Drosophila melanogaster: one gene and its partner. Each later gene encodes a partner of the first gene's protein in a complex. Each region holds a gene or a part of one and is shown in the gene's direction. Other genes may lie near its edges.

Region 1 (6,376 bases):
CACTTCGGGAGCGTTTAGATCCACTGCGCGATCGCCTAGAGCCACTTCGAGAACGCCTTGATCCAGATCCACTGCGAGATCGTCTAGATACAGAGCCGCTTCGCGAACGTCGAGAACCGCTCCGCGATGCATTTGAGCGTCTAGAACCGGACCTACTGCGAGATCGCTTAGATCCACTGCGAGAGCGACGTGATCCACTGCGCGATTGCTTAGACCCACTGCGGGAGCGGCGCGATCCACCACGGGATTGCTTAGACCCACTGCGGGATCGCCTAGAGCCACTGCGGGAGCGACGTGATCCACTGCGGGATCGCTTAGACCCACTGCGTGAGCGGTGCGATTGCTTAGATCCACTGCGGGAACGCCTAGAGCCGCTGCGGGATTGTCTAGAACCGCTGCGGGATCGTCTAGAGCCGCTGCGCGAACGTCTGGATCCAGCAGGCGATCCCGGTGCTGCGCCAGAATGACGGGAGCCACTGCGGGACGGAGCGGAGCCGCTCCGCGACCGCCGGGAACCGTTTAGCGACTGCTTGGAGCCACTGCGCGAACGCCGGCCACTGGCTGCCGAGTGCACCGATCCGCTGCGGGACTTATGGGATCCGCTTCTGGAGCGGGATGCGCTCTTCCTGGTAGCACTGCGACTGCGACTACGCGAGCGATCGGCGATGGCCTCGGCATTATCATCACCATTCTTGGGTGCCGGCGAAGGAGACTTGCTCTTGCTCTTCTCTGGCAATACTGGCTCGAAATTGGTTGCGTCGGGATTGGTATCTTGAATTTCCTTTAGCTCCGCTTTTGCGGCCGTGTCTGTTGTGGTCTTCTCGAGTGGCTCGGATAAGGTCTCGGCTTCGTCGCCGCCGGCCTTTTCTGAAAATTAAGTGTATAAAATGGTTAAACAAGAATTTCCATTAAGAATCAATTTGGTAATCAACCTATTTCAGACGTTTCCATGCCGTACTAATTATTCCTATAAATTTTTAGTAGTACACAACCAAATTTGCCTAGTCAGTTGGTCAAACTGCTTTCAGGCTCAAATTAAATAATTCCTGCAATGACTTATAAAATACGACGCGATTTTATTGCTCGGCATTTGTAAGGCCAGTGGAACGAATGGAAACGGAACATCAACGCTTGTGTGTACACATACACTAATGCATACACGCTGTTTAGGGCCCTTATACACGACAAGCCTTTTGTTATCGATAACAAAACTTCTATGATAAGACATCCGAAATAACTTATTCTACAAAACATTTAAGTCCAAAACTTAAATATCAAAATTAAATTTGTTTATGGACAAAAGTCTTGTTTTAAAAATAGACTGCGACGTACAGGTATTCGTGTCAAGGAGTACGATTTTAATCCTTGGAAATCGATAACCAAACTTATAGAAATTGATTTAATTTGTTAAGTCAGAATGAAAACTAGGTATTGCATATATTCATAGTCATTACGATTATGTATTTTTACCGCTGTTTCTTGAATCAAAAATTTATATTGCTTCTTATATAAATAAAATGAATTTATTATCTGAGGATTATTTTTGCTTATAAATTGTATAAATAAATCATTTATCGGAATAGACATGCTACCAACTTTTCCATTCAATTAATCGCGATTTTCGATTTTACACAGTTTTTGGGTTTTAACTACGCTTGTTTAAACAAAAGATATCGAGAATTTAGCGTTATCGAATCGGAATCCACCCACTTGAAATGCCCCATCCCTAAATTTGCCATGAGAAAACCAAAACAATAATATTTTTAAAATTGGTAGACATGAAGGAAGAGCAAAGCTCTATGTGTATGAAAACGCCGATATCAGCTATGGAATACTATTCTTATCTATATATTTTCTATTTCAGCTATGTTTGCCGAGGATATCCTACGGGATTACGGCTCCTTCATATCGGAGCACGATGGGAAATTGAAATTATTGCGAGATAAAGTGCCTAATCGGGATGTTTCCGAGTCTGCACAGTGTGTATATATGTCGCCCGTGGTCGAGGTAAACTTTATGGGCAACGATTCCATGGCTCCGGACAGAAGCTTTGAGGAATCGGAGCTGGTGGCCAATAAACCGCTGACAACTCTGGCGAATCTGTGCAATCAGTGCAGAAATCTGTCCAGGAAGGCAAAACGGTTCCAGCTGGCATTCCTTTTCAGCGACTTTCGATTAGATGATACGCTCCCGCCACATACCCACACATCCGAGGGTTCCGCCGGCTTGGAGGGATCCTTGGTCCGCATGAGCAGCTCCATGGACTTCTTCTGCCAGGTTTACTTCTTGCTCAATCGCATGATTGTGATACTCCAAAACCTTTGGAGACAAATAGCCGCATCTGTTAGCGTCCCAATGGACATCAATGAAGTCCACATATTCGTAAGTCAACGATCGAACTCACATCTCAAGTGTAGTAACCAATTGAAGTCGAAACTTGCAGGCTGTCTTTGATGCAATGAGTGAGTTACTGGAACACATAGTGGTATTCAATGAACTGGCGAACCAATCGAAGATATCCACCATGTGGGCGCTGTACAAGAAGTGGCTGATGAACCTATCCAATAGCCAATCAGCGAACTTGGAGCTCAATGGCCTTAGTACATCGCTAATGGATATAGAGAATCTGATCACCAAGGATTTCTTTCGGGTAAGTCAAAGAAAAACGTGAATGGTAACCGCCCTTTCATGGATATTTCCAAACAGATTCTACTGGACAATTTGATGGAATTGAAGAAGCAATTTGGCCTGAATAGTGTTAGCCCCATCACCCAGCATTCCAATGCCTATATTCGTAGGCAGCTTCTCGACGTCGACGCGAATCCGAGTAACGAACTTAAAAACTATGAGGATCCCAAGCACATTATTCGACTTACCACCTTCGTGGTCGTCGTCCATGAGCTAGGCATCCAGATGGAGGGAAAACTGGTCAAGAATGTGATCGATTTGGTGGCCAGGCATAAGCAGGTGCCTCTCAACCGAAGCGTTTTCTGGTCGCCTTCCGGATTCCTCTCTCTACATGCCAAAACCCTGATGAAGTCTTCAGCCCGATCGCAAGATGGACAAGGCCCAAAAGTTCATAGCACAGTATTGGAGAAGTTTAGGCTTAGCGATCAGAGGACCTGTCGCCAATTGGGCGTCCAACTATCGCTGTGGTCCATCCAAATGCAAAGGGTATTCGATGTGGGAGTCTTTGGACACCTCAAGACTTTTCTGCAGTTGATTCTCAATGGACACTCCTATGCCGATCAAGTTAACCTGCTGGCAGTCGCGCTGATCAATCGGCACGTGGCTCTGATGACGCCCATGACCAGAAACGATTGGATCGTCGTCTCTCGGTTGCTGCAGTACCTGAAGGTCATTCAGAAGACCTTTGAGTCAAACCAAATCAATTTCGTGCGCTTTATCAGCTCACTGATACAATGGCAGAAGCAAAAGGTCATACACCTGCTGCACACAACGAAAAAGAAGATAGTTGTCCTCAAGTTGCTGCAGCGCAAGATCAACTTTTTGGCCACAATAAAGCTGGCCGAGAAGTCCATTATGGGATTTCCGAGCAAGCAACGTTTGACTTTCGTAAATCTAGCCCTCGGGGAGTTTCTAGATAATCGCCTCCTGCCCGCCGACAATCAAAAGTTGATCAAATCGATCCTACATCGTGTTAATAGTATCAGCGACATTATGCGGAATATTGGTGGACAACTTAACACGTCGGAGTCCTCGAGTCTGGTATATAATCACTGGTTTCTGGACACTTCGGTGCTTAAGGAGTACACCGAACTCCAACGCAATCCCTACTCCTTGCAGGTTGGTTTCTTACTCAGTTTCTGGCAAAGCAACTTCATGTTTATGCCATTTATCATCGGCAGAACCTCGTGTCGGTGAGCCATCATCTGGACAAGATCATGGCCATGTTCAGGGGTTCAAGGTGTCCCAAGCAATCAGCGAATGACTTGATCATTGAGTTTTTGAGCAACCACCTGGAGTTCTTTCTGCGCGTGGAGGCCCTTTCGCATCTCTTCCAGAGCCAGGATCAACCATTCCAGCAAAGTGCCTTAGACTATCGTCTCTGCATCAATGCAGTTGCAGTTGAAAACGATGGTGATTACAATATTATAAAAGGTAAGATATCGGTTACAAAACTGAGAGATCATGCCATTCATTAACATATTTTAGATCATCTTGAGAACTATTTCACTGCCACGTTCTACAACTTAACGACAATCGCTCCGCACGACTGGAAATCGTATGAAAAGATGCGTCATTTGGCCAACAAGGTGCTGCAGCTGCAACCCATCGATGACCACCTGCCCAATCAGATAATTGACCAGGTAACCAATTGAATCATCAATAAGCAATCTCTTCTATTAACCAAACAATTCTTTCCCACTTTCAAGGGCATAGACGTGCTGCAGATCATGCGGAATATACACACTTTCGCCTCCTCGTATGCCTACAACATGAACCTGCAGGTGTTCGTGGAGACGAACAGCAGGAGCAAGCACCTCGACATCATTGGCACCCGGCACGTGGCCAACTCGGTGCAGACGCACGGCACCGGTATCATCAACACCACCGTCAACTTTATATACCAGTTTTTGCGCCAAAAGTTTTACACCTTCTCCACCTTCCTCCACGACGAGCAGATCAAGTCGCGGCTGCTCAAGGAGCTGCGTTTTCACACGGAGCACAAGCACAGCAAGTCCTATCAGTCGTATCCCTATGAGCGCGCCGATAGTTTTCTTAAGAAGATCAGAAGGCTAGGCTGCTCCAGCAATGGCGAGACGTATATGGATCTTTTCAGGAAGGTTATCACACAAGTCGGTAGGTGGTTAAAGACCATAATTCAAGAAAATGCTTAAAATATAAACGTAAATATTGCTTTTAGGCAACGCTGTTGGCTATGTGCGCCTCCTGCAGGCTGGAAGCAAGAATGCCAACTTCCGGAATCGCTCGTATAAAACCAGATTCGACAGCAACTTCAGTTGCGGGGGCTCCAAAGTGCACGAGGCTACGGAGGGTTCCATCAGGGAGTACGAGAAGAGCCTGGGTCACATGAAGGAGTGCTATTCCGATAGCACAAATTACTTCAAGGTGCAGTCTACGATCTTAACAAGTTAGGTAACCAGCTTAACCCATGGATTTATATTGCAGCTTCTTCTGCAAGGCTTTCAGCCCTTTTTGTGCAATCCACATAACCACCACCTGCGAACCTTCTACCTCATCACACCGGCGCTCATCATGAACTACATTGACTACCGGGTCAAGCAGAAGCTAAAGATCTACAAAAAGGACCAGACCAAGATCTCGCTGTTCGAGGATGGCTTCGCCATCGGCCTGGTCTACATCCTCAACATGCTGAACCAGCAGACGGAGTTCCATGAGCTGGGCTGGAGCCAGACGATCACGCAGCACCTGAACGCGGAGCGCTCCAAGGTGCGCGACATTTTGGCGGGCCAGCAGCGGACGGCGCCGGAGCAGCTGGACGAGAAGCTTCACCAGACAGTGGCGATAACCGAACGACATGTGAACGCCTACGAGCATGAATACAATCTATTGTACGCCACCTTGAGTAGCTCCGAAATATTCTTCCAATAAAATATGTCCATTTACCAAAACCAAAGATCCCAGCAGTGACAACAAACAATTGAGTAGTTGGTTGCCGTTTATTCAGATTTATTAAGACGAAAATACAATTCCGATTCCGGTACATAGCGTAGAACGTTGGTATATATATATATATATGCAATTAGATAATCAGCATTACTAATACTATTATTAGTAGTAAGTAAGCCAACATCAAAAGATCAAACATTTTTCTAAGCCCCTCTCGACTCTTGTCGTCTCATTGTTTTTCTTCTTTGTTTTTTTTTTTGTGAATGGAAATGTTAAAGTTACAGATTTAATGCATATTATATAGCCAATTGAACGCTTTCTGACATTGGTGGGCACTAATTCTATTCACTTTTGGCCCCCACATACAATTGATTGGCCAAAGGAAACCCAACATGTCTATTGAAAATATGTTGGTTTGTTATGTATTTTTCTCGTAATATTACAGTACAGTAATTGGTAAAAAAAAATGTTTTGGAGAAAATGCAAATGGTTTTCGTCTTAACAGATTTTTCTTCTTGCAATGTTGCTGTTGCTTTTGCATCGCACCTTCTTAAAGAGAACCAGAGTTAGCCACAATGATCTTCTTGGAGGTCTTGCCAGACTGCGATCCATAAGATTCGATCTTCTTGACCACATCCAGTCCCTCGACGACCTCGCCGAAGACGACGTGCTTGTTGTCCAACCAGGCGGTCTTCACAGTGCAAATAAAGAACTGGGAGCCGTTCGTGTTGGCGCCAGCGTTGGCCATCGACAGGATGCC
Region 2 (4,649 bases), on another chromosome or scaffold:
CCCAGGGCGGTGGCACCCAAAGCTAATACGCCACCCACTCGAGGAGCACTCATTTTGGCAGTTTTATTTAAAAATCTGGACAAAAAGACCAGATAGCGACCGCTATTGCACAATTCAGGTACTTTAGTGTGACCACAGTTTAAAGTGGTCGAACGAACTACAGTGAAAGACATAAATATATGCACGGATTGCTAAATTTGCTTGGGAAAATAAGTAAGTATACTATGTATATTTCATTAATGTATTAATAACTTAAAAAGGCGACGTGTGAGCTTTAACCGTAGCCCAAGTCGCAAATGGTGGTACTTACCAATTCCATATAGATAGATGGGCTTCGTGAACAGCAAGATATCCGAGCTCGAATAACTCGTCGTGGCAGTTCAAAATTCCAGGGCTGGATATCCCCTCGTCTTATGTGCTCTAATACACACTCGGCGTGTAGCAGGTTGTAAGAAATTCGCGTTTAAAATCAAATAACTTAGTGGGCGCTGCCATGTTTTAAAATTTATTCGATAACCGATCCCCGACTTAAAAGGAAAAGTGTGACCATCAATTTATAAAATTTAGCTTATATTTTGTAAAAAAATTGTTGCTTCTTTGTTTAGGAATTTTTAAGAAAAAGCAATTGTGTCGCAGAACAAAACGATGGCTAAAACAGTAATTTTAAAAAGGCATACAACACATATAAAATTATTTTTAAGGTTAAAGAAAGATTTTTATAACAGAATTAAAATCTTCTAATTTTAAAGCAATATTAGGCGAACCCAAATACATGCCATTGTACAATGTAGAATTTAATGTTAAATCATCTCTATGTTAAAATAACAAAATATAAACATTGTCAATTGGAAGAACGATTCAAAATAAGCAACTCGACCTAGATGAATGAAATAGTACAATACATGCCATTTTGTTGCTGAATGATAAGCTAAGATTTTGTTGAATTTTGGCTTAGTTGCATTCGGAAATATATTTACAACATTTTGAGCACACCCTCCAAGCACCCAATTTATAACCAGACTTTCTTATCTCAAACCCAAGCCAAAGATATTACATTGTATTGTGTGTATAAAATCCGAAGAAGGGGCATTTATTTCGCTAAAGATGCGCGTGGAATCGTGAACTACATGTAATCTCTTTCCGGTCCGGGGGCCACCTGCCGCTTTCTAGGATCCCACGATGATGTTGTTAATGGGAATGTGAATCAGCTTGACGAAGAAGCCGATGAAGCCCATGATGGCGAAGCCCACGGCGGTGGCGATGGCGATTTTCTGGAACTCCTTGCGGTCGGGTTTTGTGCAGCGCTTCACCAGGCGGATTGAGTCCTTGGCGAAGGCGCGTCCGGGTTCGGCGAATTTGACAACCTTGTCCATTTTTGATTTGTGAGTATTTAACTAAGAATTACCAATGAACTGAATTGATATTTATTTTGCTGCCGTGTCGCTTCTTGCAGTGTTACCAAGTTCCTCAGCTCAAAACATACTAAAAATTAACGCCTTTCCTTTAGTTGTTAATAAATTTTTTTTTTGGTTGAAATATAAGTGTATTTGAATTATTTTAATTTATTTTGAGTTTTTCTTTAAATTGAACCCATTCAATTATTACTTTGAAGCAAATCATTTAATGAACAGTTTTTAACAATTGATTTGGGCACACTACCCTACCCTAGCGTCGATGGAGGAACGGTGGATTTTTGAACATATGGACGTTTTCTATTTATTTATTTTTTCGTCATTTGGAAGTGAATTCCAAATTCCGTGCTCCGGAATGGCGTGCTTATAGGCTTACATTTGCCTAATTTAGTAATGATCCTGAATAAATGATCCCCTGATTAAAAAAGTTCTCCTAACAGTGGGATGAGTTTGAAAGGTATTTAAAAATGCCGCCTTCTCTAGTAGAAGTACTACAGCCGATCCGTGTCCTTAACTGCTTTATTAACAGTAATAGTTTTGGGAGACACCGCAGTTTATCTGAGGGTTAGTTTATCTGAAGGTTAGTTTGTTTCCTGGTGGTTTGTTTATCTGGTTAGCTTATCTGGGGTCTAGTTTACCTGAATGATAATTTACGTGGGAGTTAGTGTAACTGAGGGTTCAGTTGACTGGTGTTTCGTTTAGCTAGGGGTTAGTTAATCTGAGGTTTCGTAATTTTAAAAGAAATCCATTTAATTATTACTTTGAACCAAATCATTTTTAACATCTTGTAAAGCTTTTAGAGTTGGTCACACTACCATGAACAGCAGTAAAATTGCAAATAAATATGTAATTATTTGGCGATAGAAAAATGGAGGAGTCACCTTACCTGCACAGCCCCTACCAGGTGGCCATTATAGCCACCGACCTGCACCACGAGGATACCATAATCCAAGCAGCCCAGTCCCTGGACTGTCTACACAAAACCATAAACTCGATTTTCGAGCGAATCGATGCCCGCTTGGCGAGAAATGGTTCAAAGGTTGAGGACATAAACAATCGTGTGAAGCGCGCTCAGGCAAAAATCGATGCGCTCGTTGGCTCCAAGCGGGCCATCCAGATCTTTGCACCCGCCCGCTTTCCGGCCAGCGACGTCCTGGCACCGCTGCCAGCCACCTTTCCACAGGTGGCAGCCAATCCCCTAATGGAGCAGCAAGTGGACCAGCTCCCGCAAGGGACGTACAGCAGTCACAGTGCCGCGGACCAGAAGCCGGATGATGCGGACATCTTTTTCCATGTACGTGGCGATCGGGAGCAGGAATCGCCACTGGTCGCCGAACGGAAGATAACCAATCGGACCGCTGGCCTGGGCATCCTGCCTGCGGGTGGAGTGCGCTCCGTACCCTCGCTCATGCGATTCAATACCAATGAGTTCGCCTACGGCGAGGATCTGAATGCCTGGAAGCGATCCCTACCGCCGCAAAATGCTCGACGCGTTGCCAGTCAGTCCACTCAACTCACGGGAGAAAAGCAGCTCGCTCCGGCACCTCATTCGCTGGCCCACGGCACCACCAAACTGGCCACTCCAGCTGGGGACCTGCGCTACAATCCTGCTGCTTTGGCTGCACCCGCCATTGATGTTCCGCTGGACCTGCCCGACCTACCGGGCATAGCGAATGATCTGCAATATGAGCCAGTGGAGGAGCAAACACCAATAGCGCCTTCCCAGCAGTTCGGTGATTTACCAGAGCTGCCGGATTTGGGCCTCGAGGAGCAGGATATAATAGTGCAAGCCATCGCGGCACAGACGCACATTCCGGGACCGGTGCGTAGGAAGAGTGTGGGACAATGTCCTTCGCCAGTTACGGCGGCACCACCGCCTCCTCCTCCGCCACCACCGCCGCCTCCACCTCCTCCACCAGCGCAGACGAGCGCAATTCCATCACCGCCACCCTTTCCCACCAAAGGAGCTGTGAAACCGCTCTCCCCGTCGTTAGCAACACCTCTTAACATGCCGCAGCCGCCTCCAGCTACTGAAGATCCGCGATCTGAGCTTATGGCCGCCATAAGAAACGCCGGTGGAGTGCATGGCGGTCGTCTGCGGTCGCCTGCGGCTGCGCCGCTCGACGTGGTGGACAACAGTCGCTCCAAGGCGGGAGGCGCTGTCACGGGGGATTTGATGGCAGACCTGCATAACAAGCTAATGCTGCGACGCAAGGGAATTTCTGGGAGCCAGAATCCCGTGGAGGCCACTGCTGGCAATCCCCTGATGCAGCAGCTCTCCCGCGTCATACCGCCGCCGGTGCAGCCCCGCAAGGGATCTAAGTCGAGTGACGAACACTCCGAGGACGACGAGGATGGGTGGAACTAGTGAATATTTAGCTTTAGTACCGGTTTAAGTGCCTTGGCTGGCTTAAAGCACTAGCAACCTAGGTTCTCTAGCTTAAAGCATACAAATTTCTAAAACGAATTCCAAATTCTGTGCCCAAGCGAGCATGCCAAATTAGGTCAAAGTCAACCAGTTGAATAAAACTACATATTAGCAGAAATGTGTGTAATTTCTTATTGAGAACATTGGCTAACTTTAATTGATAAAATTACAGGACAATGAAACATTTTGTGATGCTAAATGAAATAAAACAATTCTTTATACTGACTAAAATAAACTCGATATTAAATTATAATAAAACACTAAATTCTAGTTTTAGATAACAGCTATTTTCCTATTTGAAATAAACGAATTTCCCTGTTAAATCCTTAACAGCGCTGTTGTGTTGCTCTCTGCCAGTGCTGTAAAATGCCGCAGTGGAATCACATTTCGGGTAAAAACAAATTGAAATATCCACCGAATTTAAATATTAAAGTTAGAGAAGCTGCCAAATATCTGGAGTTACAATCAGGGACAAGGACAAGGACTACTACACTAGAGGAGAGCTTTTACAAGCAATCCGGTGAAACCACATATAATGACAAGTCCGTCGCGGGATATAAACGATCTTTTTGACGATATTGTCCTGACCGAGGAGAAGGAGGCACGTTTGGGCTACGAGGAGGGACTGAAGGACGGCCAGGAGCAGGGCAACGAAGAGGGCTATAAATTGGGCTACGCCCAGGGAGTATCCCTAGGCGAGGAGCTCGGCAAGATTCTGGGCCAGGTGGTGGCCCAGCAGCAGCTGAAACACACGGACAAGGTGCGTCGCAGCTTGGAACAGTTGCGTTCGCTCATCGAGGAGTTTCCCC

What was found.
Region 2: SWIP (region 1) and wash share a complex: the UniProt entries of both Drosophila melanogaster proteins name them as parts of the WASH complex.

What each region holds. Positions count from the first base shown.
Region 1 is NC_004354.4:16,312,016-16,318,391, forward strand, and holds SWIP (strumpellin and WASH-interacting protein), read left to right. Parts: upstream 1-1,693; 5' UTR 1,694-1,803; intron 1,804-1,864; 5' UTR 1,865-1,866; coding exon 1,867-2,382; intron 2,383-2,443; coding exon 2,444-2,650; intron 2,651-2,706; coding exon 2,707-3,807; intron 3,808-3,869; coding exon 3,870-4,122; intron 4,123-4,176; coding exon 4,177-4,331; intron 4,332-4,397; coding exon 4,398-4,824; intron 4,825-4,888; coding exon 4,889-5,094; intron 5,095-5,154; coding exon 5,155-5,598; 3' UTR 5,599-5,735; downstream 5,736-6,376. Other genes in the region: CG9915 (uncharacterized protein), read right to left, coding at 1-867, 933-951; Cyp1 (cyclophilin 1), read right to left, coding at 6,167-6,376. UniProt on the Drosophila melanogaster protein: Acts at least in part as component of the WASH complex which may regulate wash nucleation-promoting factor (NPF) activity and is required for its membrane targeting during endosomal sorting.
Region 2 is NT_033778.4:12,178,421-12,183,069, forward strand, and holds wash (washout), read left to right. Parts: upstream 1-2,072; 5' UTR 2,073-2,120; intron 2,121-2,202; exon of another isoform or gene 2,203-2,205; 5' UTR 2,206-2,280; coding exon 2,281-3,780; 3' UTR 3,781-3,953; downstream 3,954-4,649. Other genes in the region: EndoG (endonuclease G), read right to left, coding at 1-53; CG8860 (uncharacterized protein), read right to left, coding at 1,167-1,373; CG13175 (uncharacterized protein), read left to right, coding at 4,376-4,649. UniProt on the Drosophila melanogaster protein: Acts as a nucleation-promoting factor by activating the Arp2/3 complex to induce actin polymerization. Participates in both linear- and branched-actin networks.